Oryzias latipes: one gene and its partners. The protein of the gene in region 1 purifies or fractionates together with the protein of each later gene. This does not show direct contact. Links are inferred from orthologs where the notes say so. Each region holds a gene or a part of one and is shown in the gene's direction. Other genes may lie near its edges.

Region 1 (5,688 bases):
TTGTTGAGAACATTTTTGATGCGCCGATGAAGACATATTTTGTGCGCATGGTTGTGTAATAGTCTCTGCCTCTCTGTTTATACACTTTTACATAGAATGTCTTGCAAATTCTGACCGCTTCTGTTGAAACTGACTTTGATTCAGGTCAAAAAATGGTGGAGTGGAACCAGCTGGACGTGACGTCTTTTCTGGAGCAGGCCACTGGTTTCCTGGCAGAACACGGGCAGCTTGACGGGCCGTCCTGCCATGGACCACCTGCCAAACGAGCTCGCTCTGTGGGTTTCTCATCTCCTGCTTCACCTCTGGTTCTCATTATATCAACGCTTCTCCCCTGAGCTTCAGTTATTGTGCCTAAAATGCTGTTTGAGATGGTTTTAATTGGCTATGTTTTGAAATGGAAATAATCTCAGACATCATTATTTATCTTTAAAAACATCATTTTTTACATATATATATATATATTTTAAAGCCAAAATAAGTCCGATATGTTGTACGTTTGCTTCATAAACATTTCTGTTGATGTCTTACTTTGTTTTCTCTGCTAGGAGAGTCTAATTGATGCCAGTGAAGACAGCCAGCTGGAGGCAGCGATCCGAGCCTCGTTACAGGAAACCCACTATGAGTCCTCGAATGTCGCTGAGGCCCAAGACTCCCCGAGATCAGAAGACGATTCGGACGAGGAGGCCTTCTCCGACAGCGAAGGACCCATCTCTGTCGACGGCTCAGACAGTGAACCATCCACGCCCCTCACTGCCTCAGCGGCCCAGCAACGTCTCCAACCTGACAGCTCAACTTCTTCCTATAGAAAGTCCCCGTACAAAGAAAACAATCACAGTCACAAAAAGGAGGAGAGCAAAAAGAACCATCTGGAACCTTCAGCTCCAGTTCGTCATCCTCAACCTGATGCTGACTCCGGAAGGAACAACTGTTCCTCCCCAGCGGAAAGTGCGTCATCTTCCAAGATCAGCACCACCACAGCCTGTGAAGTGGACTGTCCCGATGACAATGGTGAGACAAACACAATGGTATCGTCTAAGACACTTCAGATTGATGCTCAGTTAAAGAAAAAGCAATAAACAGGACGGCTAGACAGTCTATTGACCATCGGGAATGTGCTGAAACTTGATAATCTGAGATCTAACATGTCTAGAACTGCTCTGAAGCAGCAACCAACCAGGGCAGAGCTTCAGGTAGCAGCTTCAGCTGTCTGCGGCCGAAGAACAGCCTGATGTTAGAAATCTCTCAGGGAATCTTAAAAAACAAAACAGAATTTAAGTAAAGCTGTCTATTTGTCAGCTACTTTATCATTACATCACACTGTAACATTGACGACTGTGAAGTTATATTTTACACTAAAAATAAAGGACTTATTTTATGCATAAAACAGAAATCTTAGCAACAAGTTTAAACTCATTAATTTATTTAACATGTCAGAAAACTAAAATAGCAAAATAATGATTCATGTAGTTTGTAAAAAAAAATAAAAATAAATCCAGTTGACAATTTTCTTGCTTCCTCTGCATGTTTTAGAGCAATCTGCTGACTTTTCAGTGGAAAAGTTCCCTTCAATCAAACTTTAAATGTGGATTATTATTTTTCCAAATGTTTTGGCTTTTATGCACTAAAATTTAGTCAGAAACCGACTGTGATGAAACCATTTTTACCCCTGTCAAGTTTGAGCTCAATTCAGTGAATTTTCTTTTGTCTGTGCCTAGAATGTACATGATTAGAATCGCCACATATATATAGTTTAACAATGAATTATTCATCAAATGATAACACGTCTAAATAAAGCATTGGTTTAGTTATAAGAGGTTCAATCTTGTTTACTAAAACTAACCAGAGAGGAAAAACGACCACAGAAGGGGTCAAACGGAGAAGAGACAGATGTTTGCTGACTCCTTTGACACCTTTTTGAGTGTTTTTGTCGTTTTTTTAATTGTTATCTGTTTGGAAACCAACTGTGTTTTTTCCTGTTAATGAAGGTCCCAAAGCCAGGTTGATGCTCCGCTACCCCGATGGACAGAGAGAGCAAATTTCTTTGTCTTCTAAAGCTAAACTTTTGGTGAGTTGATCCGACACTTCTCCCTGTTTGAAATAACACACAGTGGTCACTCGATTATCGTCAAGTTACGTTCTAAAAATAACCTGCAAGAGTTATTATAGATGTTTTAAGATGGTAAAAGTCCTCACTACACACTTTTCTCAGCCCGGCATTGAGATTTCTACACTTTCCTGTTGTTTCAAAGTTCAAACCTTCATAGAAACACGTATTTTAGAAGGAAACCAAAGATCTGCCAAAGATTGAAGTTTTATTGAAAGACCCACTACAATCTTTTAATCTTTTTTAAAGGTAATTCTGATTATGCCATTTTTACCCAAAATCAAAAATGTGCCCTTTTCTAGGACATAGTTTGGGCATTAGAAATTTTCCCTTGAGTTATGGGCGGGGCTGTTGGCATGGAGCAATCCCTCAATCCCTGCTGAGGGCTAGTTTACAGCCCCACCAAAATAGTGATAAATATTGGAGCTATCTGGACATGCAGTTTTGAGCCCGAGACCAGCTCGGACGAGGAAGACGTACATGGATCTAGTCGTCCACAAGTGGATGCATCAGAATGAAGCGAACCAGGGAGCTTGTGGCCTGCTGGTTCTGTTTTCTACGTCACAAATGAGCCCCGTTTGCAGCTTCATCTTTCCATCCCGTCCTGATTAACAATGTTTAAAAAAATAAATAATCAGAAAATACAATTTTGAGTTTAATTTTCTTCATATATGTCCCCCATCATGAGAAAAAAGCTACAAAATGCCATTTTTCATTGGAGTGGGTCTCTAAATTCTGCAAGCTGAGCACATTCTTTACTGCAGACGACACACAGAAGAGATAGAAGAGATTGATTGACGATTGTCAACAGCCAATCAGGATCCAGAACACAATATACTGTTAAAGAAAACCTAGTGAAACGAGTAACAGCGAGGGACCACTGTATCACAGAAACCTTTTTATTTTTGAACAGTTCCTGGATATCAGCAAATATTAACTCTAGTAAAACAAAGCTCAGCTGTTAAACCGTTTTGTTTTTTGTCTAGGCCCTGGTCAGGCACGTCCAGTCCAAGGGTTACCCTAACGAACGCTTTGAACTCGTCACCAACTTTCCTAGAAGGAAGCTCGCCCACTTGGACTATGACATCACGCTGCAGGAAGCAGGCCTTTGTCCACAGGAGACTGTATTTGTGCAGGAGAGGAACTAGCCCTCCCAGACATGTTGGCCATCAGCTTGTCCATGTCATCAATGTTCTCTGGTAACGATACTGGCTTCAACACCTGAATAACTTTCTTTTGGGGAAGTTAAGCGGGAGGACCCCGGCTCTCTCTCTCCTCCATGTCTTCAACAGGACAGCTGATGGACTTCTGCACATAACTCCACTAGTCTCCGTACTGACATCACACTGAAAACCCGATTTCTTCGTAGTCCTTTTAAACCGACCAGTAAACTGTTTCAGATGTAAGCACTCTTTATTTTTTTAATATTATCTGGTTTACTCTGATGCAGCTTTTTGAACTCTGAGGCACATCAGGACTGAAAACAAACATGTCTCCTGTAAAAAAAAAAAAAAAAAAAAAACAAGACACCAAACTGAAACACCACTTCATTGGTTAATGAAAGGCCATCGAGGACTTTTACTTTCCAGAAAAGGACGGTAAAGGTCAGAGTTTATTTTCCAGCTCTTGTTATATCTGTACATTGGACAAGTAAAGGGAGATCTGTCCTTGTCTTTTTTTTTTCCTGTAATTGTTGAGATTTTTGTAATTATTTAGGAGGTATGAGCATTCCTGGAAAAAAGGCTCAGAGGATACAAGGGGGGGTGGGGTATTTGGTATTTTTGACACAGAGAAATGACAAATGGGAGGTTGTACGCATCTTCAGTCGATGTACAGACGGCTTAGAAAAAAAACTAATATTTAGCGATAGTCTTTGTTTCCTTCCTTTTTCTATATGCTGCCAACAAAATGCTGATGTTGAAATATAACTACCAAAAAAAAAAAAAGAACCAGCAGAATCCTTTTTACTTTGTTTTTTTTTTTTTTTTATAATTTAGGTTTTGTGAATGAAGGAATGATTAAAATTTGAATTTTTGACCCGAATTAAATTCACCACTTAACTGGACATATTGCATGAAATGGCTAAAAAGGTGGACACATTCAGCATAAAATGTAATTTTTTTTTATCTAAATACATTTATTTTACATACAAGAAAACTCTATTATGACTTCTGTTAGAATTCTACGCATTGTTTTAGTGCTCTTAACCTTCCAAAAAAATGTGAAAGTCAAAGTCAGACAAAAGACTGTAAGCTTTGACCAGCTCTTTGTCTCTCCAGTTTTTCTTTGGGTCATCTGGTGGTGCTAATGTGCCTTAAATGTCAACAGCGAAAAAGAAGGTGACTTATAAGGACAGTAGTGCAGGGTTTGAACTCTTTCTTTGGGCTTTTCAGAAATCTCGTCTGGTTCAACAAGCTTCCAATCGTCATGCTAAACTCGCAATTCTTGTGGTGCTTTATTTTTTTTTTCCTTGCAATTCTTTTCTTAGAAGAGTGCACCCATTGCAAGTGGATGGACCCTGAGAGGATGTGTTTAGACTCTATAATCTGTCTTTACAGCCTCGTGATTCAGGATTAGTCAGAATTCTTATAAAAAGATGGACAATGTTGGCCCTCAAACTAGAATCTTCTGCCCTTCTTTTTTAACAATATGCTAATTAAAGTATGTCTTACGGTCTCACCGACTGACTTGTACCCAGAGTCTGTGCAGAGGTTAAAGTTGGCACAACCCTAACCCTGTGTCGCCACCCCTACTGAACCATGGGCAAGAAGAGGCAACACCAGGAAGAGCAATGATGTATAAGCAATCAGAAGAACAACAAATAAAATCCTATGATGAGAACAGGAAATATGGTAGAGGATGACATTTCCGACCATTACATCGATGACGAGCTGTTTCTGCAAAACTCACGAGATTGCGGGTCAAATTAAACTCCTCCTGTTGGCTAATCCATGTGGATTAGTAACCATTGAAACATGACCAACAAATAACACTAGAAAAATACTTTTTAGGTTACAAAAAGACTTACAAAGGTTTTTTTTTTCTGAAAAAAGTTCAAAATGAACCTTTAAAAACAAAAAAGGCACAAAGGTTTTAGTTTCACATCATTTCCATTCTGCCATCAGAGAGAGAGACCCCTCCTGATTGTTTAATCATTGATGGTGATATATTTGGTGAATATTATTGCTTTAAAGAAGAAGAGAAGCCATTCCAGTAGGAGCACTTTGAGGATCTGATCTTTTCTTTCACCAAACACAACCCAACAGGGAAAACTGATCATTAAAGCTTCTCATTTGATTTACAGCTATTGTAATTGGTGTTTGATTTTTCACTTGACTTGTGTTATTCAGGTTGTCTTTGTTATTCCACTAAAGAAGAGGAGCCCAGCTGATGTTTGGGAGAGTCAGATCAGGACAATGGTCAGAGATGAAGAAAAACACCCACAGCTGCACAAATAGATGGCTCAAGTTTGCTCCCCAGGATGTGTGCAGTTTACATTCTCAAACCAGCTGATTTTTTTTTTTTGTGTAAAGGACAAAAAAAAAGTCCTCGTGAACAGAAACAACCTTTTTCAAAATGTCGTA
Region 2 (6,382 bases), on another chromosome or scaffold:
TCCAGCCTAGACGTAACAAATGCATGGATGAGTTTTTCAACATCACTTTTAGAGAGTATATTTCTGATCTTAGCTATAATGAAGTGAAAAAATGCAGTTTTGCATGCCTGAGATATGTGAGCATTAAATGATAAATCCTGGTCAAATAGAACCCCTAGGTTTCAAACTGTGGAGTTGGAGGCTAAACTCACACCATCCAGAGAGACTATCTGAGCAGACAGAGCATCTCTGAGGATTTTAGGACTTAGTATAATGACCTCAGGCTTTTGTGGGTTCAGAAAGGAGGTAATCAATTGTCATCCAGGTCTTGATGTCTCTGATGTAGGCATTCAGTTTCTCTCCTAGATTAGAATACTTGTACTTGATTAATAATAATTAAAAAAGATTAGCTCCCAGTCGCATTTCCCAACAGTTTTGCCTCCTTTATCTGTACTGTTTAAAGAATGGATCACTCCACGTTCACAAAAAATTATGTTTTCTTCAACAACAGCTTCCCCCATCTGAATTACAGCGACATAAAATAAAAAATGGCGGTTAAGTTCAACTCTGTGTTATTTAGATACTTTGCCATTACAGACAATAACGATCTTGACGAACCGTAATATCATGAAAACCACACAGATTGGAATCCTCCTCACTGTTTGATCTATTTTTTTTTTTTTTAATGGCAGTAAGTAAAGACTAGAACTGAGGACATTTTACTCTGAGGAGACGCTTCCGGGCTACTGCAGCTAAATTATGCATTAATAACACCTCTGTATAATGTAATAATATAATATAGTTAATTGATTTCTTGTTAATTGGCGTCATTCTTGTAAACTAGGGAGTGAACTGCTCCCATGCAAAACTGAAGAATGAGAGTGGTTATAAAATTCAAAATAAATGTTGTTTAAACATTTGTTTAAACAAAAGAAATGAGAGATTTGCACAATGTTGCATGAAATAGTCTATATAAATGTATGTATTTAATACAATCCACATGGATTACAGGAAAATATTTTTAGATGTTTTTAGGAGAGATTAAGGATATATATATTTGTATTGCTGTTACTGTCACAAAACAAATAAAAAAATCACATTTGACAACAAATAACTTTAAGAGAAAACAGCAGGGGTTACCTGTCTGAACTGGACCAACTGGCGTGTTTGTGGCTCCTACAATTAAAAATTGTGGGTTGTTTGTAAATGGCTGGTTATCTGTAACGCCCTGAAGATCCGAAGGGGAAAAGTCGAGATGGGAATCAAAACACAGCCCTGAAAGACCAAGGAAAACACAAACCAGTGGGTGTGGAGGTGGTCATGTTAACCACTATCGACATGTTTACCTGCATTACTGTTGTTAGTTTGCAGGTAAGAAGGAATCAAACTGGGAGAAGCTGGAGCTTATTGTGACTGATCACTCTCTTCTGTATTTAGCTGCATCACCCTGGAAGTCATTCTATGGAAAACAAGACTGTATTTGTATAAAAGAAAAATGAAGATTTATATAAAGGAGCATCTGATCCTCCTTTTTGTAAAATAACAGCTTCCTTCTTTAAGCAAGCAAAAAAAAAATACTCTTGTAAGGAATTCAAAATATACCTCAAGTTTTTGGTAAAAGCTAAAAACAACTTCTTCTGGTTGAATATTTTCCATTTTTTTCTAACAAAGCAGAGCAAAACAAAACAAAAAAATTGCAAATTTATAGTTAAAAATGTTTTGATTAACAAAAATTTGTGTCCAAAATGCATTAATTTTACCAGCTATGATATATTTCTTCAAACAAGCACTAAAACTAACTTTAGCTAATCAGGGATGTAGTAAATAAAGAACAACACTGTAAGTACTAATAGTCAGTTATGACATTTGAACGTTTTTTTTTAACTAATTGATTCAATACACAGTCTGACCTTCAACAAAAATAAAGAAACATTTGGGATTTAGTTTGAAGTAGCAGGCAGTCAGGATGTATTCAAATTTAAGCGGCATATTCTTATGGTGGTGGAAGCCAAACAATGCATGTTTTCAAAGCAAAAAAAGGGAGAGTGAAAATTTGTAATAAAAGAAATCACAGAAAATTTACCAAAGAGATTAAAGAACGTGCAAAGCCAAGCTACTTTGGCACAAGTAGCTTCTGGAAAAACCTTTACTTATTTAAAAGTGAGGCAAATATGAAGTGTTTATTTTTTGTATTTATCAATTAATTTAATTTGTATTAAACACAAATGGAATAAATGCACATTTCCCCTCAAAAAAAATAGAGCATATAAAAACAGAATACACCGGTGTTTGAAAAATTCGATTCCTTAAGGTTTCCGTAGTTTTGGGCGATACCATTTTTTGGTTGGGGTTTTTCTTTTAACGTTGCCGCGCTTTAGTTAATGTAAAGCTTATATCTATGATCTGTTGTTAATGAATTTATATTAGATACAATTCAGACAAATTACTGTTTCCTAAAATTCATACAAAGTATAAACACTTGTCTGTAACGTTCACCTAAGTCAAGTGGTATATTCCTAGTGGTTGGGAAGACCTGTGAGTCAAATCAGTACTGTGACAGCGGAGAAACCGGAGTTTTTAAACAAGTAATTACTGAATTAAGGTTAGTTGTAAAGTCTTTGCTTATAATAAGTAATCAGATTTTTTCAACATCAGCGCCACGCTTTGCCGTAATGTCAAGGTTTACGTAGGGAAACTTCTTGTATGACAATTTGCTAACTATAGCTGAGCAATCGTTAGCCGCCAGCTAGCTGGCTAATTGCTAGCTTTTGCCTTAAAATTGCCTTCAGTTGAACAGGAAGAAGTGACATGCTAACGCGCAGTAAGCTAGCATTTTAGCTCAACATCCTATTTTTGGATTGGCATTCCGCTAGCTTGTACCTTTTTTTTTTTAGCTAGGTTCAACAAACATGTCAGAGGGATGCTAAAATGGAGAGACAGCATTCGGTAGCATAATTGTAGTCACAATAAATATTGACGTGGTTTTTCAAGACAAATGTTGAGATGTTTAATGTTGCGTTATAGCAATTGAAATGAATGACGACAAACATGAAAGAACACATACAGGGCCTTCTTTCTCCCACTTGACGTAATAATTACAACTGCTTGCATTAATTTGAACGTTGATAGATTTTTTATGAAGTGTTTCGCTGCTGCTCAGAGGTTTTCTCTTTACTTTTCTCCAAAATATTTAGCTGTTAGCCTCTTCTTGTTGAACAGAATGATTATCAGACATAATAGTGCTATGGAGTGTTGTTTCCATGATCAAAAGAATTGTTTTAAAAATGTCCTTGTTACTATGTTTTATTTGGTAAAGATGTTCAAATCGTGTTATTGGTTTAATTTCCCAGGTGCTGTTTTGAAATCCTCGTATACTTTTGTTTTGTATTTGATGATGCTTCCTTCTTCTTCTTTTTTTTTACTATCAGTTTCTTTTTTGTCATACAGCCTTTATTTTGGTGACTGTGCTGTCAAAACAAACATTTAGAGACCCACTCCAGTAAAAATTGTGTTTGGTGTTTATAACATGTTCTTGTGGCGTTTTTCTGATGGTGGAGGACATAATATAAAGAAAATTGAACCTAAGACTGCATTTCAGAGTATTTTTTAAATTCAAATTGTTGTGAGTCAGGAGCAGATGAAAAACTGCTGTCTGAAAAAGATCGTATTTGTGACGTAGAAGCTACAGTGACCGGGCCACAAGCTCCCTGCTCCATTCCATTCTGATGCATTCATGTACGTCTCTGTTTTCCTCGTCTCAGCTGGAATCTGGCTCAAAACTGTACAGCTGGATTGCTCCAATATTGCTTCCCATTTTTGTTGCATTGGTAATGTTGGGCTTGGTGTGTGAGGGGTTGTACGAGAGTGGGAGAGTAGATGGGTGATGGAAAGTGGGGCGGACTGCTCTGCAGAAAGTATGGCCTAGAAAATGAAAGTTTTTTTTTTTTTAATTTTTTGGACTTAAAAGCTGCATAATCATAGTTAAAGGAATGGGACTTTAACATCTTTCAATATTTCCTGTTCTTTTCTTCTTTTCAGTCAGGCTGAAGGAAAAACTACAATGTCCTTAAAGCCGCGGGTGGTGGACTTTGATGAAACATGGAACAAGTTACTGACGACAATCAAGGCTGTTGTGATGCTCGACTATGTTGAAAGAGCCACCTGGAATGACAGATTCTCGTATCCTTTTAAAGATTTTTTTTTTTTTAAAGATTGTAGGCAATTTATAGCGGTGGTCCCAACCTCCAGGCCAGTCCGTGGGAGAGAGAAAAAAACACGACCTACATTTTTTCCCATTTTCTTTATCATCTGATTTTGAAAGAAGTTTTATTTGGGAAAAGTCCTCGACTCTCTTCACCACATTCCACTCATTCTTGATGCATGTTAAGTTGCTCGATCACGTTTAAAAAACCATCCTCTACTTTCTTAAAGCTGCTGCTCCGACCGTTAAATTGAGACCCCCAGGCTGGCAAAGTTCATTAAAAAAAACACATATGGAAAGTTTGTTTCAGTAGAAAAAAGTTTTAGGGACCAATGTCTTATTTATTCATTTATTTTTTATATTTGTGGAACCCTAAAAGTCTGACGAGGCTGAAGTTGGCATCAGATTTTTTGGCCTCTACTTTGACAGTTATGGGTTACGGGAAAATCTATATCCCTTTTTAATGGTTCCTACTTGAAATCTAGTGTACAAATAAAGTTTAGAGAAGTGGCAAATATTTCACAGAGGATGAAGATCGACTTTACCCTCAAAAGTTAAGGAAAACCTTTAGCTAAAAAAACAAATCGGACGGCCACTTGAACCTCGTTTCTTGTCTGACATTAAACCGGCCCATGGCCTGAAAAAGGTGCGGACCACTGTTTTATAGGGTAGATGGGTTCTTCATCTTTTTCTAAATACAGATTAGCTATTGTTGAGATAAATGTGTCTGAAAAAAGATGTTTTCTTGGTTTGTGATCCTGACCTCAGACACCAGCGACATTTATGCCTTATGTGTTGCATACCCAGAACCCCTGGGGGAAAGATTATACACGGAGACCAAAATTTTTCTTGAAAATCATGTCCGACAGTTATACAAGGTAAGCCTTTCACGCTCTTGCGGGAGAAAAAAAAGAAGTGCTTCTTCCCCCATAAGTTCTTGCTTTTTAGTAATAATATCTGAATGTACTTCTAGAAAGTTCTGGAGTCGGAGGAAAAGGTTTTAGTGATGTACCACAGATACTGGGAGGAATACAGCAAAGGCGCTGACTACATGGACTGCTTGTACAGGTAACTGTATTTTTTGACATCTACCAGCATGCAACAGGGTAGGGCTGGAGGACACTGCTACATTACTGAATCCATCCAGAATATATTCAGCTGTTAGATCTATTTATTTATTTTATTTCTATCCAAAACCAATTTAGTTAAGTTAGGGAAACCTGTTTTTACCAAAAAAAACTGTTCATTTGGAATACGGTGGAATTTTAATTCATGTTCATTGTAACATAAATAAAGGAAAGAATTTTTCAGACACAAAATATTGAAACAAAGAAGTTCTTTAAAGGGAAATCCAGAGGTATTGGATCCATCTTTTGTTTATTTAAACTCCCTTACAGCACTATAATAATTGATCCTTTGTAAATTATTTTCATTTTTAAAGGATAAATATTTAATGAAATGCCAGACACTGATTTTTATTGCTTTTTATACATTTAAATATCATTTGTACTATATGTGATATAGTGGCTTCTCACTATATCACAGTTCATCTTTTCCAGCCCTTTTTCTGTTTGTTGGTGCACTGTGTTCTGTGTCCTGATTGGCTGTAGACCCTGTCAGTCAATCTCCTCTGTGCCGTGTCTCCTGTATAGAATGGGATCAGCTTGATAGATGGATGTATATCTTCAATCCCAATCAGATCTTTGTTTTCATTCCATAATCCTGGACTCATTTTTATACGAAGGTTTGAACTTTGAGAGTTTAAATAAGAGAGAAAAGGGTGAAAATATTCATATCTGTCTGAGAAAAGTGTATCAAATGTGTAGTTAGGAGTTTTACAGCCTTTAAACATCTAAAATATTGTACTAAACAGACATGACTACTTCACTGATTTCACCTATCGTGGATTATTTTTAGAGTTACTTCTGAGGGAACACTGTATACTAAAAATCAATCAATATTCTGCCATTTTATACTAATAATTACACTGCCTGCATGACTTGTATTGTTATTTATACTACTATATTTATAAAGATCGCTAATCAGGGATGCCAGACAACTAAAAATTCGCATTTGATTTTTCTGCATTCAGATACTTCTTCCATCCTTAATCTTTAGTAAATGATTTTAATTCTCGAGTCTCATGTTTAAACTAATACTTCACCAGACACTAATTCTAACTATTTCAAATATCATCTTGCA
Region 3 (4,693 bases), on another chromosome or scaffold:
CCCTGGGAGGGGGGGCGCCTACCGCGGCCGGCTGGGGGAGCCTTCTTCCCCTGGTTGTGCCCATCCGCCTGCTCATCCCCGCTCCCACCCAAACAAACGTTGCACACAGGCACATAGGGCTCCAGAAACTGGATGGGTGGGACATGCTGGCGGGGCTTACTGGGGGTGACTCTCTCTGGGGTCGCATCGGCGCCTACCCTCCATTCCATTCCACTTTTACTTTTACTTTAGACACCCTGATTCATCTAGGCCCTCTTTTTGTGATAGTAAAACCTGTCCAACACAAAAGGACTTCAGCTCTAATCTGTTTGCTCAATATTTTTAGGACTAAGTTTAACAAAACCAAAATGATTGAATTGAACTTTTCTTCGAAAATGATTTAGTGATTCATTTAGTTTTTTTGCAGTGATACTCAGCCTTAGTCATCCCTAAGATTGAAAACTGAGAAACTATGTGAGCACACATGCTAACAAATGTTAACTTGTGCATAAAAAACAAAAGCAAATGCTTTATTTAGATTTAATTTGTTCACTGCCAATTTCTTGACTAGTAGTCTCTGCATGAAGCCAAGTGAATGTTTTCAGCATTTAGTGATTTCACATCTTTTTTCAAAATGTGTTTAAGTCTCCTCTTAAATTCCCCTGCATAAATAAAAAAAGGACTATACTGATAAGATCATAAGAAATTTTATAAGGTTGACCTCTATTTGAATTTTTTTTCTTCATTTTTTTTCCAGATCATGTCGGCTGTCAAGGTCGCCCTGCAGCACGCTCAGAAAAACGGCAGGAGAAAAACCTCTGAAGCGATGTCTGTGGAAGTGTCTCCCGACTCCAAGTGTCCCATCTGTTTGGACGGTTTTCACAACGTTTCTTACTTGGATCGTTGCCTGCACAAGTTCTGCTTTCGCTGCATTCTTGAGTGGTCCAAGAACAAAGCCGAGTGTCCACTCTGCAAACAGCCGTTCAATACAATCTATCACAGTATAAAATCCGAGCAAGACTTTCAAAAGTATGAACTGAAGCAGCAAGTGGAGAACTCCTCTTTTGGGTATTTCGAGGGAGTGAGGTTCAGGTACCGCACCACTCTTACCGGTGTCCATCGGCAGATGCGAGGAAGAACCTCTCCGCCTCCGGATAACGGGGTGATGTTTGAAGCTTCGGCGCATCCTCCCTTTCAGCGGCAAGATCGCTACATTCGGCGCATGATGGCGCGGTTGGCAGCCAGAAGGAGAGCCGAGAGCGAAGGCAGGACGGTGAACAATGTCAGAGAGCAAGAGATGGTAAATTTCCGAAGGGAGCTGTACAGACAGGGTGTCAGGGTTCGCAACGTTCGAGACGGCGGCCGCTCTCGGGACACCTCCGCCGAGTTCTACCGCAGAAACCCCGCCTGCCTGCATAGATTGGTGCCCTGGTTAAAAAGAGAACTCACCGTGCTGTATGGAGCTCATGGCTCTTTGGTCAACATAGTTCAACATATCATCATGTCACGCATCACACGCTACGATATGGAAGACGGCGCGATTCAGGAAGAGCTGAGGCCGTTCCTCCAGGCTCGAACCGAGCACTTCCTGCACGAATTCATCAGTTTCGCCAAGTCCCCCTTCAACATGGAGGGGTACGACCAGCACGCAGTTTATGACTGTCCGGCCCCCTCCTCCAACGAAGACAGCAACTCCAACTCGTCCGTTATTGCCATCTCAGAAGAAGAGGAGAACCTTGTAGAGATAGAACAACCAGGAGGATCTACTTCTTCTCTGAGTCAGTCTGTGTGGGATGATGAGACTCCTGGTCCATCGTATTCAACAACAGCAGATCCAGGAAGGATAAGTCATCTGTCGGTCCATGACTCGGACTCTGAAAGCAGTTCAGACGGGGGCGTTCAAGAGTTTAGGGCTCCTCAACAGCGAGTGAGTCCAAGAAACCAAATAGACATGACTCAGGAGAACTGTAATGATGAAGATTGTCTGTCTTCTGACAGTGATGACTGTGTTATCATAGGATTTGTTAAGCCAACAAAAGAAAGGACTCCCGAGCTGGTTCAGCTGTCCTCTGATTCTGATGAGTCTTTCGGTGAAGACGCCAAAGCTGCGGCTCTCCAACCTAAACACATTCGTTTCCCCAGTTGTAGTCCAGCAGCTTCACTGAGGAGTGAATGCAGCGGCTCCAGACGAACAGAAAACCAGAGAAACTATCAATATCCCAAGTCAAACGAGGAGTGCGGCTCATCGAAATCAAGCAGATGTAAAACATCCAAAGAGTCTCACAATAAAGAGACAGACCGAAGACACTGCAGTGAGAAGCAGCCAAGGGAAAGGTACAGGTCAAAGGATAAAGAGCACAGAAGGCAGAGACGGTCAAAAAGCGGAGAGCATAGACAATCAAGCAGAAGTCCAGACGCCTCACAGAGTCAGTCCATCGACGGGAGTTACTCTTACATTAGCAAAGACTTTTCCAAACGTGACAGGAGGTATAAGGATAGAGGCAGTTATTACTACAATCAGACATATAGCCATCACAGACATGAGACAGATTGCACACGTAAGCAGGCCAACCATCACAGCAGCTACAAGTACTCTGGGAAGCACGTTCGATCTCGCTCCGGGAGCCCCAGCAGGGGGACAAGGGGACGGGACGGGACCAGGTCTCCATCCAGGACTTCCTTCAGCAGCTGCTCCCCTTCGTCGAGAAGAAAGACATACTGCGACAAGCCTGGCGGGAAGAGAAAATACAAAACAAGACACTTAGAGGACCCATCCACACAAAGGCACCACAGCCAGGATGAAGACGAGGACTCTGTGTCAACTGCACACAAGAAAAAAGCTAAAGAGAGGCGTCATAAAAAATCCAAAGAAAGGCAGAGAAAGAACAGCAGCAGCTTAGAGTCAAAAGAGCAAAGAAAACACCATAAAAAGAAGAAGAAACACAAGAAGAAAAGTAGACGGCAAAGGAGTGATGAGCACAAAAATACCTACTTACCCTCCGTCATCGTCATGGGGAGCAAAAATGAGTCTTCAGCTAAAAACATGCAGGTGTTAAGCACAGATGAGGAAAAAGACACAGGTGGTTCTGCTGTCAATCCAGTAGACTCTGACTCTATCGATTAACCACCTGGCATATTTATATGGTTCTATCTAACTTCAACACAGATGCCAGTATCTCAAGAAAAGAGTATTCTTTAATGCATAAATAATTCTGCCTTAAAAGCTCCTTATCTACTGTGCTGTTGAAGTATGGACTTTTGTATTCAATTTTAAGAATAAAATCTAGTCATTAACAATGGATGTTTGAATATTTGTGATATTATTTCTGTGTAGTTTAACCCAGAGTAGGTTGAATTGAAAAGACATGCATATACAATCTTTATTAATATTCATGCATATTTGATATTTTATGCCTAAAATATGATGATTTCTGGATTATTGTGATTTGCAGCTTCACCAACAATGATCTAAAATCTGATGGATATTTTTTTATTTATGTAAAACAAAGAATAGAATAAAACTGTATTGATTCTACAAAGGTGAAATTATCACGTTGCCATAACTCTATTAAAAACAGAAGTTAGATAACAAAAAAAATCAAACTTATTTGACAGAATATAAAAACAAAAAATATGATGTCCTTGAAAAAACCAGCGCCCCATGGAGGCAGAAAACCGCAATCGCAATCAACAATTTAAGTTCAACTTTTGCCCATTGACTGTAGGACTTTTATTTTGAAAATCTGGTGACCGGGAAGAGAAATGTTTGATGGCCGTCTTTTTTTTTTTTTTTCAAATATTTTGATTACGAGCGTTAACGGTTCAGCGCATTCCCTTTTGGTCAAATCCCACTCTTCATCCCAGAGGCGTTGTCATGGCGTCTACGGTTCACGTTAAGGTAGTACTCTGTTTAAAACGGTGGTAGTGTTATTTAAAAACAAAACAAATAAAACATTTGCTGCTTTAAACCACTGCTAGGAACCAGAACGACAACAGAGGTTACAAACCCGGAAATGCAGGGACAGGCTGGTGTGTTAGCATGCTGGGAAAAGTAAATGTGAAAGGCTTGAATTATACCCAAGCCTTCAGGAGTTTCAAAATGTGCTAATATATGTATGGCACGGATCATATATATGAGCATAAAAATGTCAACTACAAGCTAACGACGCGTTGCCGGACAGCTTACATGCTGCAGCTTCTTCTTGACCTCTTGCTAGTCGGCTGTCAGCCGGCTTTACTTCCAATTCCAACTCATTAGTTAATGTTTGGAGACTTAACTAGACTACAGTAATCATCTAATGGAGCATTATTGCACTTTACGGTAACAAATGTTTTTTTTTACATCGTATTATTTTCTTTCATGCTACTTATTTTATGATAGTTAATCATTAAAACAGCTGTCACTCAAATCTTCACTTCACCTAGGTCACATTGATGGAAACTTACATTGTGATTTTGGATTTCTTTTTATTCTGGACTAACAATACAAGTTAGTCACGCCTGCCTACAGATATAACAGATTTGAAGAAATATGGATTTCTAATTTTGAAGAACACATGAAAGGAGTAACACTTAATAGGGATAAGGGAAGAAAAAATAAAATAATGTTTGTGTAATGAAACTTTAGCAGCGGTCACATAATCGGCACAAAATCCAATTTAATTTTTTTTCACTTTTTTTTTTTTTTAGGTCTGTTAGATTCTCATATCTGTTG
Region 4 (6,295 bases), on another chromosome or scaffold:
TTTCCAACCACTCCATCATGTTGAAAACGTGGGCAAAGTAAGTTAGGCCTCTAATTTAGGACTATTCCTCTATCTTTTTTCTACTAAATCACCCGGCCTTAAAGGAAGAATACAGTGGTCTCTGGCTAAATCGGCGTTCAGCTTTTACTGGTTGGCAGATTTTTTAGTGCATTTTGACATGTTTTTACTAAGTACACTGTTCTGTGTCCTTATTGGCTGTTGATCTCTTTTGTGCAGTGTCTCCTGTACAGAGTGCGTTCAGTTTTGAAACTTCACATAAATTGCCAGCAGATCTTTTATTTATTTATTTTTTTTAGGTTTGAGCTTTACACAATTATCTATGATAATTATCTATGATAATTGTAAAAGGATAAAACGTTTACCTATCATGGGTTAGATGTGTCCCTTGCTTTATGTAGCACAGCAAAGTATGTCTGATATGCATGCACCCTTTCAGGAACCAAGATCCCATTTAAAAAAAATAAAAATCTCTGAGTTATTTATTTATGATTGATGCAGGTTAAGAAAAAATGAAGGACAAACAAATGTGCTGACAGTGTTTATCTTTGTTGCAGATTGCAACCCAGAACAGAAGCTTTACTGGGCCCTTTGGTGTCAAAGAAGGTCGACTGCAGGGATGCTCTCCTTTCCATCTGGAAGACTGACGATAAATGTTAGACTTTAATGTTTGGTTGCTTCTGGTTTTATTAATCCTATTTTCTTATTGTGGCTCATCTTTTGTTTTTTTCTTTCTACAGTTCTGTTGTCTGCCTACTGTCAGTGGTTACCTGAATCTGTTCACCAGGAAGTTGCAAATACTTGGCCTCCTGCATAGATACAAACGTCAGACGAGCAAAGAACAACATGAATGAACGCCTGTTGATTGACGTCTGTAAGATCTATTTCCCTCAACTTCTGTAGTCTTTCAAAGAGAAACTCCTAAACAAAGACGGCAACCTTTGTCTTTTTTGTATTTTCTTAACATCCAAAATAATTTTCATCTTGTTTTCTGTTGTGACTGTTTTTAACTCTGTGCTGCTAACATTTAGCTGTATCAAAGACTTGTAAAAAATGTACGCATCTGAATGCAAATAAAACTATTATACCTTTGAAATTGTGTCACATATTTTTATTCTTTGGAAAATAGTAATGCTCCTTAAATATGATTCAAATCAAATGTATGATATTTACAAACAAAAAGAAATCCCATGCCGTTTTACTGTAGATGAGGCTGTTAGTGAACATTTATCAAAAGTATCATTTTTAGGTTTATTGGTGAAAAAGTAAAAAACATCACTCATGTAAAATATAAAATGTCAAAAAATCCGTTTTGTTCCAAAAGGTAAGAAAGAAAAGGGATTAAAGAAATCATACAAGCATGTGAAAAAACTATTTGTAGATAAAATAAAATAAAAAAAACATTAAATCATTAAACATCTTTTTTTTTGGAACAAAAAGGGATTTAAATATTTTAGATTTAGACTTATGTTATTGTTATAAATGTTTCTTTTTCGTTAATATTATAGTTTTTTTCGTTGTCATTATTATCGATCAATTTGTTATTATCACTGAAACTTTATGATAAAATTTGCCCCAAAGCGGTGACCTTTGACCTCCGTGGTGGGAAAAACGAAAGCTTTGTTTGGAAATGATCTAGATTGGCGAGAGTATCAAAGATTCACGAGAAGACCCTAGTTAAGAAGTTTTTGTACACGGCCACTCCTTTCTGGGTCTTTCCAACCGTACAAGTAGATTTTTATCTCCAAATGAAGATGGAGGTTAGAAAAAGGAAGGGAAACTGGGATGAAATTGCAGCAGACAGTTTGGATACAGTTCATTCCCATTTACACAAGTGGATCTACAGAACACAAAAAACAAAGAGGACTGTTTTTTCTTTCTGTATCTCTAATTTAAAAAAAAATGTCGGAATAAGGATGTCGAAGGATCTTTCGGTTTTTGTAGTTGAAATGTTAGGAATATTACACTGATTAGAACACAGTAGAATCAGTGATGGTGTAATTGGCTCAGTTATTATCAGCATTGATGTCTTTATAATATTTTTCTTCCGATAGTAGGTCAAATGGAGTAGTTATTGGTTTTGGAGGAGAACTGGACAGTTGAGGAGAATAAAGTTTTTTTTGTTTGTTTTTAATGGAACAATTAGGTTGTCCCCCACTCAAATTCCCCCTCCAACACAGTAGGTAGCGGTATTGCACCTTTTCATTTGTGTCTCCCGTCACTTAAATTACAAGAAGAAGAATTGTCGTCATATCCGCCTGTCAGCTTGTACACTTCCGGGAAAGAAAGAAAGACAACATCGAATACTCCGTGAACAAACAAAAAGACCTAAAATACATTGCTTTTACGGGTTTTAGTTCCTCTAAGACCTCATTTGTCATTATGGTAAGTGATGTTTACATTTACATACTGCTGACGACATGTTTCTATTAAAATAAACCGGATTTTAACCGGCTAGGCTAACTGGCAGCTAACAACAACATTACCTCAGAGCAGAAAGATGCTCTGTCACGATGAAAACAGAGTTGCACATGCCGGCTTTATTCTTGTGAAACGATCTGAAGTGCGGTTTGAAAATGACTTTCATGTGGTATGCACTCTTCCATAGTTTTCCTTCCATGTTTTTGACCCCCCAATGGGCCGGGGCTTTCCGAACCGCTTCTCCACTCAGTACCGGTGCTACTCGGTGTCCATGCTGGCGGGACCCAACGACCGCTCCGACGTGGAGAAAGGAGGCAAAAGTTGGTATAATTTCATCTAGAGAAAAGTCAAAGAAAGTCAAAAAATAGTGAACCATGAGTTTTAAGGGTGAAACTAAAGTTGAAGTTGTTTACCTACTCAAAACCAAACGGTAAATAACTTATATTAACGAGAAACGACTATCCTCTTTATGTTTATTTTATTAATTTATTTATTGCTTCTGGCACAAAATCTACAGATAACTGTCAATTGATTTATTTAAAAGCATATTTTATCAACTTCTTCTCAAACTAACGGATTTAATAGATACATTCATCTAATTCATACATTTTAAATAGTGCTATACCTTTTAAAATATTACATCTTAAAACAGTTCCTTAAAAACACATTGTTTTTATAGAAAATATTAATTTGAATGTTTAAATTTGGATACGATTTTACTTTAATTTGGATATGAATGATCTTTTTTTTATATAAAACCTGACTAAAGACATTATATTTTACATTTTTATTTAAATATGAAAACAAAGATTTCAATAACAACTGTTCAGTAACCAGAGAAAATCTGTTTTTCCGCTTTCACCAGTAATCATGCCACCTTCTGCTCTTGACCAGCTCAGTAAGTACAAGTATTTCTTTTTCTTCTTTCTCTTTCATAAACCCTTCACTAGAAAGGACCCTCTTCCTTTTTTGTTCTGTGAAGGCAGGCTCAACATCACGTACCCGATGCTGTTCAAGCTGACCAACAAAAACTCGGACAGAATGACACATTGTGGTGTTCTGGAGTTTGTAGCAGATGAGGGGATCTGCTACCTACCACACTGGGTGAGACACAGTAAATAGTTTGATGATTTAAAAAACAAACTGAAAAGCTGAAGATTTTTTTTCACATGGAGGTAAGATAGCCCTTTACCAGACCGCTAACCTGTTCAGGGTGGACCCTGCCTTCGCCCAACAAAAGCCAAGTTAGGCTCCAGCAACCTCATGTCATGAACCTGAAAAGGATTCGGCGTAATCTGAAGATGGGTGGATTTAATCCATCCACACATTTTCTTATTCTGCTGTGTCCCTGTAAGGGTTACGGGATTGCCAGAGTCTATCCTGGCTGCTGTGGGCGAAGGCAAGGTACACCTCAGACAGGTCACCAGCCGGTCACCAGCCGGTCACAGAGCAACAATAACACAATTTAGAGTAATCAGTCAACCCATGATGCATGTTTTTGGACTGTGGGAGGAAGCTTGAGTGCCCGGAGAAAAAGATGCAAACTCCACACAGAATGTACCCACCTGGGATTTGATGGGTGGATTTAAAACACTGCCAAACTAACAGCATCAATAGAAATAAAAGTAGTAAAAAAAAATAATTGTTTATGCAAAATGTACACAAATAAATCAAAGTTTGAGTGTGACAGCATGGTTTTATTGTCTTAAAAAAATCACAATTTTTTTGTTTTTGTTTAAGCTACTAAAGTCAGGGCAGCACTATGCTTCTTTTGTCTGTCTTGTTTCCTGACTTTTTAAAAATGTATTTATGTAGATGATGCAAAATCTCCTGCTGGAAGAAGGTGGTTTGGTTCAGGTGGAAAGTGTCAATCTCATGGTGGCCACTTATTCAAAGTTCCAACCTCAAAGTCCTGATTTTCTGGACATCACAAACCCCAAGGCAGTGTAAGAGCAATGGACATCTATGTGCCCTTTATGCATATAAAGTTTGGTAAGCGGAATTCCTGAGCTGTCACTTTATCACAGGCTGGAGAACGCACTGAGGAACTTTGCATGCTTGACAACTGGTGATGTTATTGCTATCAACTACAATGAAAAGGTAATTCATTTTATTTTGAAGGATATTTTCCTTTCAATAGTGCACACATTCTATAAAGCCTGTGTTTGCTTTAGATCTATGAGCTGCGAGTGATGGAGACCAAGCCAGATAAAGCTGTGTCCATCATTGAATGTGATATGAATGTGAGACTCTCTTTATTATTCTAGACAACATTAAACCTTTACATTATTTGCTATTTGAGTTTTATTTTGCTCCTCTGTTTAGGTTGACTTTGATGCACCTCTGGGTTACAAAGAACCTGAGCGGCGATCTCAGAACCAGGATGAACCCACGGTAAGGACTGAGCCTTAAGCAGTGAGTGAGATAAGTCATTAAAGGTTTAGTAAAAAACATTTCTGTAGGAGGAAGAGCCAGACCCAAGCAGTTATGCTGACATGGACCTCGGATTCAGAGTGAGTATGTTCCAACTAATAATGACCCAAAAGACAAATGAAAGCAATAAAATACTTTTCTTGATTTTATTTTTCGTTAGGCTTTTACTGGTTCTGGCAATCGTCTGGACGGTAAAACAAAAGGGATTGAGCCTAACCCTGTTCCTCTAGCAGCAAGTGACATTAAAAGGTGGTTTTGCATTTAAACTCTTCACAGTTGCATCTTTTTGTGTTTGTGTCAACTTTGTTGCATTTTAAGGTCCCTGCTTAGTAAATCATTTTTTTAATTAGTTTGATTTTTTTTTTCTTTTTCTTTTCTGCATATGGGACAGAATTTTGAGACAAAGTTTTGCATCTGGAATTAAAACTAAAAGTAAAAAAATTTTCATCTATTGTTGGCCTCATAAGTCAACTTACAGTCCTTGTTTGATCACATGTGCAGAGCCTGTTAGCAAGATTTTAAATAAATTGTGTAATAGTGATTAAAAGCTGTTGAGAACATCTCAATCTAATTACTGATTTTTTTTAATTCAATGTCCATTTTCATTTCAATCTTTTCATGACAGAGGAATTCCCAATTATGATTTCAAAGTTGGCAAAATCACTTTCATTAGAAACTCCCGACCTCAGCCCAGGAGAGTTGTCGATGATGTAAGTAGTTGATAGTTTTTCTATATATGTAATAAGATGTGCTTCCAAAATTAATTTACTTTTTTTTTTACTAATTTTTAATCTTTCTTCTCCAGGATGATGCCCTGAACAAGTTCATTGCCTTCTCTGGAGAGGGACAGTCACTACGCAAGAAAGGCAGAAAGCCTTAGAGCTGCAAGTGGAGAGTCAGGCCTATGTGACGTCTATTGTAGAGCTTTTATGTAGAATTTTGATTATATTTTTTGATTGAAATTCTCATATTCTCATTTGCTCAAATAAAGCAAAATTGCATTCTGGTTCTTGGGGTTTTTTCTGGTGATGTGAGTGAGGACAGTAGAAATTTGTCAGGAAATGCTTTATCACCAACACAGAAAATTATTATTAGAAAACAATTGGAAAGTTTTGTCATAATAATGTTACACTTTGAACATCCAGTGTTTTTTTTAAAATATCATTTTCCTTTTTTTTTAACAGTACACTTTGTTGCTAATATAATAGAGCATACATTTACTTTAGCTTTAGTTGTGGTGAAAAACAATATTTCTCTTGATGTGTAAAAACAATGCCTCATGCATTTTGCTGCTTTATTTATAAATAAATAAATGATTCTTTTTGGAATGTTTAGTCATTATTTATTAGCATGGAAATGGTATGTCAACACTTGCAGAAAACAGTTGAATTAGATGCAGTGATCACTTCAAATGACTTTATTT
Region 5 (5,688 bases), on another chromosome or scaffold:
TGCTTTACGTTGAAGTTTGAATGGAATTCTAGGGTTGGGTTTAACCAGACTCGTCTGCTGTTTTTAGGCTGACTGCTTCTCCAATGATATTCACAAGCTGGACACCACCGCCATGGTTTGGTCATTGATAAATGCCAAAGTAAGTTCTAAGCAGGTGTGGCGCTGAGGTGGAGCGGTCCATCAGAAACTGTGCCAGAGTGTCCTTGGGCGTGGCGGTGAATAAAAGTGTACAGCATCTACTAGTCTAACAATTCCTGCACAAAGCAAAGCTGGACTTAAACCTGAGGTGGATTATTGTGCGTTTGGAAATACTTCTACAAATGAGGTCAGACTGGTTTGTTCTGGAAGCTCCGCCTTCTGGTGCAGCTTATGAAACTCAGCAACAGACTCAAACAATAAGCTGCTTCAGGGTTTGGGTTCAAAGCCCAGTTATTGGAATTTTTAGGTTCATAATAACAATTGATTTTTTTTGTTCTTTGCTCAAAATCAAAATGAAAAAAATGAATCTCGCCTTCCTGCTTATGAGGCTTTGGAGGCTAAAGATCAGAAGATTTTCACATTTTTCTGCTGGTTTTTGCGTCTCATGTTTGGAAAAAAATAGTTGTAGAGTCACGATATACCCCTCCCCCCCCAAAAAAAAAATCTGATTTTTTTCCCCCACATCAAATTCGATCTCCAATTTGAATCCCCCCCCCTTTACTGTCTTTAACAAAAATGACACACGACAGGATTTTTTAACAAAAACTTTTATTTTAACATCTCATTTAGAAGTTGGCCTGAACCTAAAACTGAATACAAAGCTGTGAAAATGTTTTTGGAGCTGCTGCTTGAGCGTCTCGTGAAGAGGAGCACATTTCTCACACTCGACAGAGTTTCTGTTTCTGCTGTTGAAACAAATTCAGCGTACTCCCACTTTTGGTAACGATGGCCTTCGAGCGGATTTTGATTCTGGTTTGATGCTCCAAGTCTGAAGTCACAAAGCCGAATCAGTTCCAGAAAACGCAGAAAAATGTTTGTTTTTGGAAAAAATCAATCAATAAAAAGCTCCTCTTTGCTGGAGAGGGGAATGCTGGGAAAATTGAACCCAGATTCTCCCCAAAATAAATCACCTTTAACAACAGCTTTGAATGTTTCCCCATCCCTAGTTTAGTGAAAGTTGAAATAATAAATTCCTAAAGATGTACACTAGGGGGTGCTGTGTACCTGATGTTATTATGCCAATGGGTAGAACAGGATTTTTGTGCTCGCTGTGAAGTCGTGTATGATGGTAGGAAACTGTCCCATGAAAGGAGGATGAACAGATTTGGGTTGTATTTTTGAGTTGATGCCCTTTCGTTCGTTCTCCTTAGAAACCTGACGCTCTCGTGACGTTCTGCCTCTTCTCAGGGTTCTCCAGCTCGATGGAGAGACTTCCACTCAGCCACCATCATAGGAGCAAAAATGTTTGTTTTCGGAGGGAGGGCGGACCGCTTCGGCCCTTTCCACTCCAACAATGAGATTTACTGCAACAAGATCAAAGTGTTCGACACGGAGACCAACTGCTGGCTGAGCACCCCCACCACGCAGCCCTCTCCAGAGGGACGCAGGAGTCACTCGGCATGTAAGACGCACACGCGTGTTCTTCCGAAACATCCAGCGCCAGCGTGTGTCGTTGATGACGTGATCATTGGCTGCTTTCTGTTCAGTTTGCTACAAAGGGGAGCTCTACATTTTCGGAGGATACAACGCCCGTCTGGACCGGCACTTCAACGATCTCTGGAAATTCAATCCAGGTGATTCACTTTTAAAAGCAGCCGTTTGGTTCAGTTACGTAGCATGAACGTGTGGGATGTTTTGGCCTAGAGCAGCCCCACCTTCCCTTCCCGTCATCCATAGGTGAGCTCTCTTCTAACACGCTCTCCCGCTAGCTTACAGCCGCTCACAGCAGCAACATCGTAGCCGTCCAGACGTCTAGTTTAGATCCAGAGTCCAGCTCAGACGAGGAAAACAAAGACGTTCGTGGATCTATTTGTTTATAAGTGGACGTATCAGAAAGGGGCGGAGCAGGGAGCTTGTGGCCCCGCCCAGCATCTTTTCTACATAACAAATATGATCTTTTTCAGGTGACTTTTTTTCATCTGCTCCTGATTCACAACGATTTCAATAAAGGAATACACAGAAATGCAATTCTAAGCTGAATTTTCTTTATCATTAGAAAAATGCTACAAGAACAAGATTAAAAACACCAGAAACAGGATTTTTCATTAGATTGAGTCTTCAAGTAGGGTGTGACATTATTTTCACTCCGAATCTGAAGAACCCTTATTCACTTGTTGAACCTAAAATGTTTGTGAGACACTAAAGCTGCAGACCCACCGATATTTATTTACACGCAATCCACTCCTACAGAGCAACAAAACCGTCTAGTTCTGTTATGTCGCCTGTATGGAGCTGTCGACAAACTCTTGTCCAAAGTTGGTCTGATGTTTAACAAAATAGTCATTACAGTTCATCCTCCCATTAAGATGCTCAGTTTTCTTAATGGTTTTGTTTTTATACAGCTCTTCATTTTTGTATTGATAAGTTTCTGTTGAATAAATCTGCTGTTTCAACAACAGTCCACTAGATGGCAGCACCTCTATTGGAGTTATAACGCTGCGTTTCTAAGGAGAAGCAGTTTGAAACTGAGGCGGCACTTGACCCTGCATGCTTTAAACAACAAGTCAGACTTTTTTAATTGACTCGACTAAACTTAAACCAGGTTTTTCCTATATTTCTATCTTTACAACCCAGTTTCCACTTTGTTTTAATTGTGTCAAACACCTTTCGGTTCATGAAGCTTTAGGGGAACAGCATCTTAAATCACTTTTCAGTCTGAACTCTCCTTTTTAATAAAATATGTTTCTTCCTCTTGATTTGGAGTCAAGTAATCAACAGTATATTTTTCATTCAATATGTTATAACAGCAAGTGCTTTCAAAATATAAGCATATGCTAACAAAATAAAAGAAATAAAAGAAAATGAGCAAAGAAAAAAAAGAACAAAAGTCAGCAGCCTAAAGAGAAAATGGAAGTACTATTTTTACAATTAAGAGCAAAAGAAGACATTTAATAAGATTGAAATAACAATAAATAAAGCATTTATCAATTATCAGTTTTTTAATAATAATATATACATTTAAAATGAGTTTATAATTGAACCAAACCATTAAATTAGGGCCATTCAGGCAGATTTTCTCATGGCATCTGGGACTGATGGGACATCGTTAGAGGGTCATTTCCGCGCCAACAGTACTGCCCACAACCCAGAGGCAAATTTCCACTGAACTCCTGCCGCTCTGCAGAGACTATGTCCTGGGAAACGACAGGTTTTTTCATGTTGCTAAACACAGCATCATCATAATTAAGAGACCGCTGGGAACGCTTTGGCATTGGGATTTTAAGACCTGGCGTCCGCTTGTGTGGACATCACATTTTGGTCAAGTTGCGTGTGAAACGGACGTTCTCACAGAGCTGTGCGTCTTGGTTTCTGGTTTCAGGAGTTTCATTTTGGCCCTCCTGTTGTCTTCATGCAGGGCTGATCTGCCTGTAAAGCTCACGCGTCGTCTCTTTTTGCCTCCTGTCCCCACAGAGGCCTTCATGTGGAAGAAAATCGAGCCGAAAGGCAAAGGTCCGTGCTCACGGAGGCGACAGTGTTGTTGTATGGTTGGAGATCGAATCATCCTGTTTGGAGGAACCAGGTAAAGTCTAATATTTGACCTTTTAGGGCTTAATCTTTGCTCAAAGGAAAACCAGGAATCGGTTTTAGGTTTACTACTTGAGTCCTTTCTTACACGATCATGTTCATTCTGAATCTATGTATTTTTGTCCTCTTTTAATCCTAACGTATGTTTTCGCTCTTGACATTATTTATTTATTTTTTTATTAGATACACAAAGCAGTTACACTCAGAATGCAGAGTTTTGCATTTTGTAGGATTCATAATAGCTGTATATTAGAAAACGGAGCTTTTTAAAACACATTTTCAGTTGGTAAAACACAAAATCTTTGGCCAAAGCGTTCAGTTGTTACAGATTCAAAAATCTGCTTTGGTTCCATTTGAAAAGCATTTTCAGAAACATGCTCACATTCCAAATTCAGCGTTGAACTTTCTGCTTAATGTTGTGGAAAGCATCATGGGTTTGAGAGCAGACCGGACCGGACTGAGGGGGCAGAGGTCGTTTCTCCCTGCTGCCAGTTCAAAGGCTCTCTACGCCGACTTTTATTACTTTATTGACTGCAACGATCTGCTGCAGCTAATTTCTTCCCCTTGCAGGACTAATAAAGGTTTTTTTCTTAATTTAAAATTACATTTGAATGCGAGGCCCGGTTATACGATTAGGAAAATCAGAGTCAAATCATAGCACAGCGCGTCAGTCATTATTTCCTAAAAAACAACATTTACAAAGCCAACATGCAAAGAGAGTGTGAAAAGTGAGCCCCCACCCCCCCATGGCCCCGTAGGAGTTGACACAGGAAGTGGCGGCCTCGTGCTTCTGATCAAATGAAATCGATGAACTCTTTATTAGCAAGTGTCACCTCCTTTATAAAACAGAGGGTGTTTTTATTCTGTTGTTTTTCGGCCTCATTCCATCTATTGATGAGGATGAAGTCTTCATTCTCCGCTCAGCGGACGTCCCAGCCGCTCACCTGATCAGGTTCCAGGTTTTCTGGCCCCACACAAACCGAGTTAGGCGCATTTATTCAGCTCTCCAGTCTGCAACTGAAAAACAAAATCATTTGTCAAACTCCAGACATGATCCTCGTTGAAATGCTGCGACTTTTCTTCAGAGAATGAATTTCTGCCCAGCCGGGTGGCTGAAAACACCAGAGACCGAAGGAGAAATCCTTTCATAAGATCTTTCTGCATCCATCCTTTATGGACAGTAAATTCCATTTCTTTATACATAAAAGTGACACAGGATTCTGAAAATCGATCTTGCAGCATTTATGATCCTCAGCCGGTCTTTGCGCTCTGGCCGCCGCAGACGGCGGTCTGCGAGGACCCCCCCCCTTTGTTGGCTGTTGGACAGCAGTGATAGGCTGGAGGCAGCGGCTGGTTAGGCGCCGCTTTGCTGTGGATGAAGAGGCCGGTAGCCGGTGGAGTAATGTGGTAGCCTCCAGTGTTGGCATGATCTAAAGTTAAGTCCTGAGCTGCTGTTATCAACAGAACTGCTGTTATCAGGGAGAACCTGATGGTTCATCAGAAAGCTGCAGATAAAGAGCTGCTTCTGTCTCCTGGCATCCTCCATGACACCGATCCAACCAAACTCCATAGTTTTTCTTTGATTCCTGAGAGAGAGTCAGATTTTCTTATGGCTGTAGGAGAATAAAGGAGAAAAGCTGTAAAAGAAAGCAGATGACATGTACTTGTGTTATTCATTGTGGAGTTTCTCAGGATGGGCTTTAAAGAGTCATGATTTCCTGTTGGGAGCAGAGAGCAAAGATGCTGAAGGGGAGTGTTGTTAATGTGATGAAGAGGACAGCAAGAAAAAAATCAAACTGTTTCTCCTGCATCCTGTTTCAGAGCCTGACGCTGGATTTGTTTGTTTAGTTTTTAAAGAATCTTGCGCAGTTAAACATTAACTAAAGGTATATTCACAAGAAAACCAGTTCTAGAAGTTTGTTTTTGCTGCAAAATGAATGTTATATTTGACGAAATGTTTCTTTT

The links.
Region 2: the proteins of ubxn7 (region 1) and cul2 purify together in Homo sapiens (affinity purification with mass spectrometry; 6 studies listed by BioGRID and IntAct, with this or other methods). This does not show direct contact. The link is inferred for Oryzias latipes from reciprocal best matches to the Homo sapiens genes UBXN7 and CUL2.
Region 3: the proteins of ubxn7 (region 1) and topors purify together in Homo sapiens (affinity purification with mass spectrometry; 4 studies listed by BioGRID and IntAct, with this or other methods). This does not show direct contact. The link is inferred for Oryzias latipes from reciprocal best matches to the Homo sapiens genes UBXN7 and TOPORS.
Region 4: the proteins of ubxn7 (region 1) and ufd1 purify together in Homo sapiens (affinity purification with mass spectrometry; 3 studies listed by BioGRID and IntAct, with this or other methods). This does not show direct contact. The link is inferred for Oryzias latipes from reciprocal best matches to the Homo sapiens genes UBXN7 and UFD1.
Region 5: the proteins of ubxn7 (region 1) and klhdc3 purify together in Homo sapiens (affinity purification with mass spectrometry; 3 studies listed by BioGRID and IntAct, with this or other methods). This does not show direct contact. The link is inferred for Oryzias latipes from reciprocal best matches to the Homo sapiens genes UBXN7 and KLHDC3.

What each region holds. Positions count from the first base shown.
Region 1 is NC_019875.2:24,818,802-24,824,489, forward strand, and holds the end of ubxn7 (UBX domain-containing protein 7), read left to right. Parts: intron 1-144; coding exon 145-275; intron 276-545; coding exon 546-1,008; intron 1,009-1,985; coding exon 1,986-2,065; intron 2,066-3,090; coding exon 3,091-3,252; 3' UTR 3,253-5,407; downstream 5,408-5,688. UniProt on the Homo sapiens protein: Ubiquitin-binding adapter that links a subset of NEDD8-associated cullin ring ligases (CRLs) to the segregase VCP/p97, to regulate turnover of their ubiquitination substrates.
Region 2 is NC_019878.2:9,091,324-9,097,705, reverse strand, and holds the start of cul2 (cullin-2), read left to right. Parts: upstream 1-2,456; 5' UTR 2,457-2,581; intron 2,582-4,017; 5' UTR 4,018-4,039; coding exon 4,040-4,158; intron 4,159-4,955; coding exon 4,956-5,058; intron 5,059-5,153; coding exon 5,154-5,248; intron 5,249-6,382.
Region 3 is NC_019859.2:15,571,920-15,576,612, forward strand, and holds the end of topors (E3 ubiquitin-protein ligase Topors), read left to right. Parts: intron 1-736; 5' UTR 737-739; coding exon 740-3,103; 3' UTR 3,104-3,280; downstream 3,281-4,693. Other genes in the region: mtap (S-methyl-5'-thioadenosine phosphorylase), read left to right, coding at 3,854-3,877. UniProt on the Homo sapiens protein: Functions as an E3 ubiquitin-protein ligase and as an E3 SUMO1-protein ligase. Probable tumor suppressor involved in cell growth, cell proliferation and apoptosis that regulates p53/TP53 stability through ubiquitin-dependent degradation.
Region 4 is NC_019867.2:6,261,547-6,267,841, reverse strand, and holds ufd1 (ubiquitin recognition factor in ER-associated degradation protein 1), read left to right. Parts: upstream 1-2,248; 5' UTR 2,249-2,400; coding exon 2,401-2,403; intron 2,404-2,626; coding exon 2,627-2,759; intron 2,760-3,304; coding exon 3,305-3,337; intron 3,338-3,421; coding exon 3,422-3,543; intron 3,544-4,254; coding exon 4,255-4,385; intron 4,386-4,466; coding exon 4,467-4,539; intron 4,540-4,613; coding exon 4,614-4,682; intron 4,683-4,764; coding exon 4,765-4,833; intron 4,834-4,901; coding exon 4,902-4,952; intron 4,953-5,032; coding exon 5,033-5,121; intron 5,122-5,497; coding exon 5,498-5,582; intron 5,583-5,677; coding exon 5,678-5,752; 3' UTR 5,753-5,879; downstream 5,880-6,295. Other genes in the region: probable ATP-dependent RNA helicase DHX37, read left to right, coding at 1-37, 576-673, 759-835. UniProt on the Homo sapiens protein: Essential component of the ubiquitin-dependent proteolytic pathway which degrades ubiquitin fusion proteins.
Region 5 is NC_019873.2:28,677,796-28,683,483, forward strand, and holds part of klhdc3 (kelch domain-containing protein 3), read left to right. Parts: intron 1-67; coding exon 68-139; intron 140-1,386; coding exon 1,387-1,600; intron 1,601-1,685; coding exon 1,686-1,772; intron 1,773-3,609; coding exon 3,610-3,718; intron 3,719-5,688. UniProt on the Homo sapiens protein: Substrate-recognition component of a Cul2-RING (CRL2) E3 ubiquitin-protein ligase complex of the DesCEND (destruction via C-end degrons) pathway, which recognizes a C-degron located at the extreme C terminus of target proteins, leading to their ubiquitination and degradation.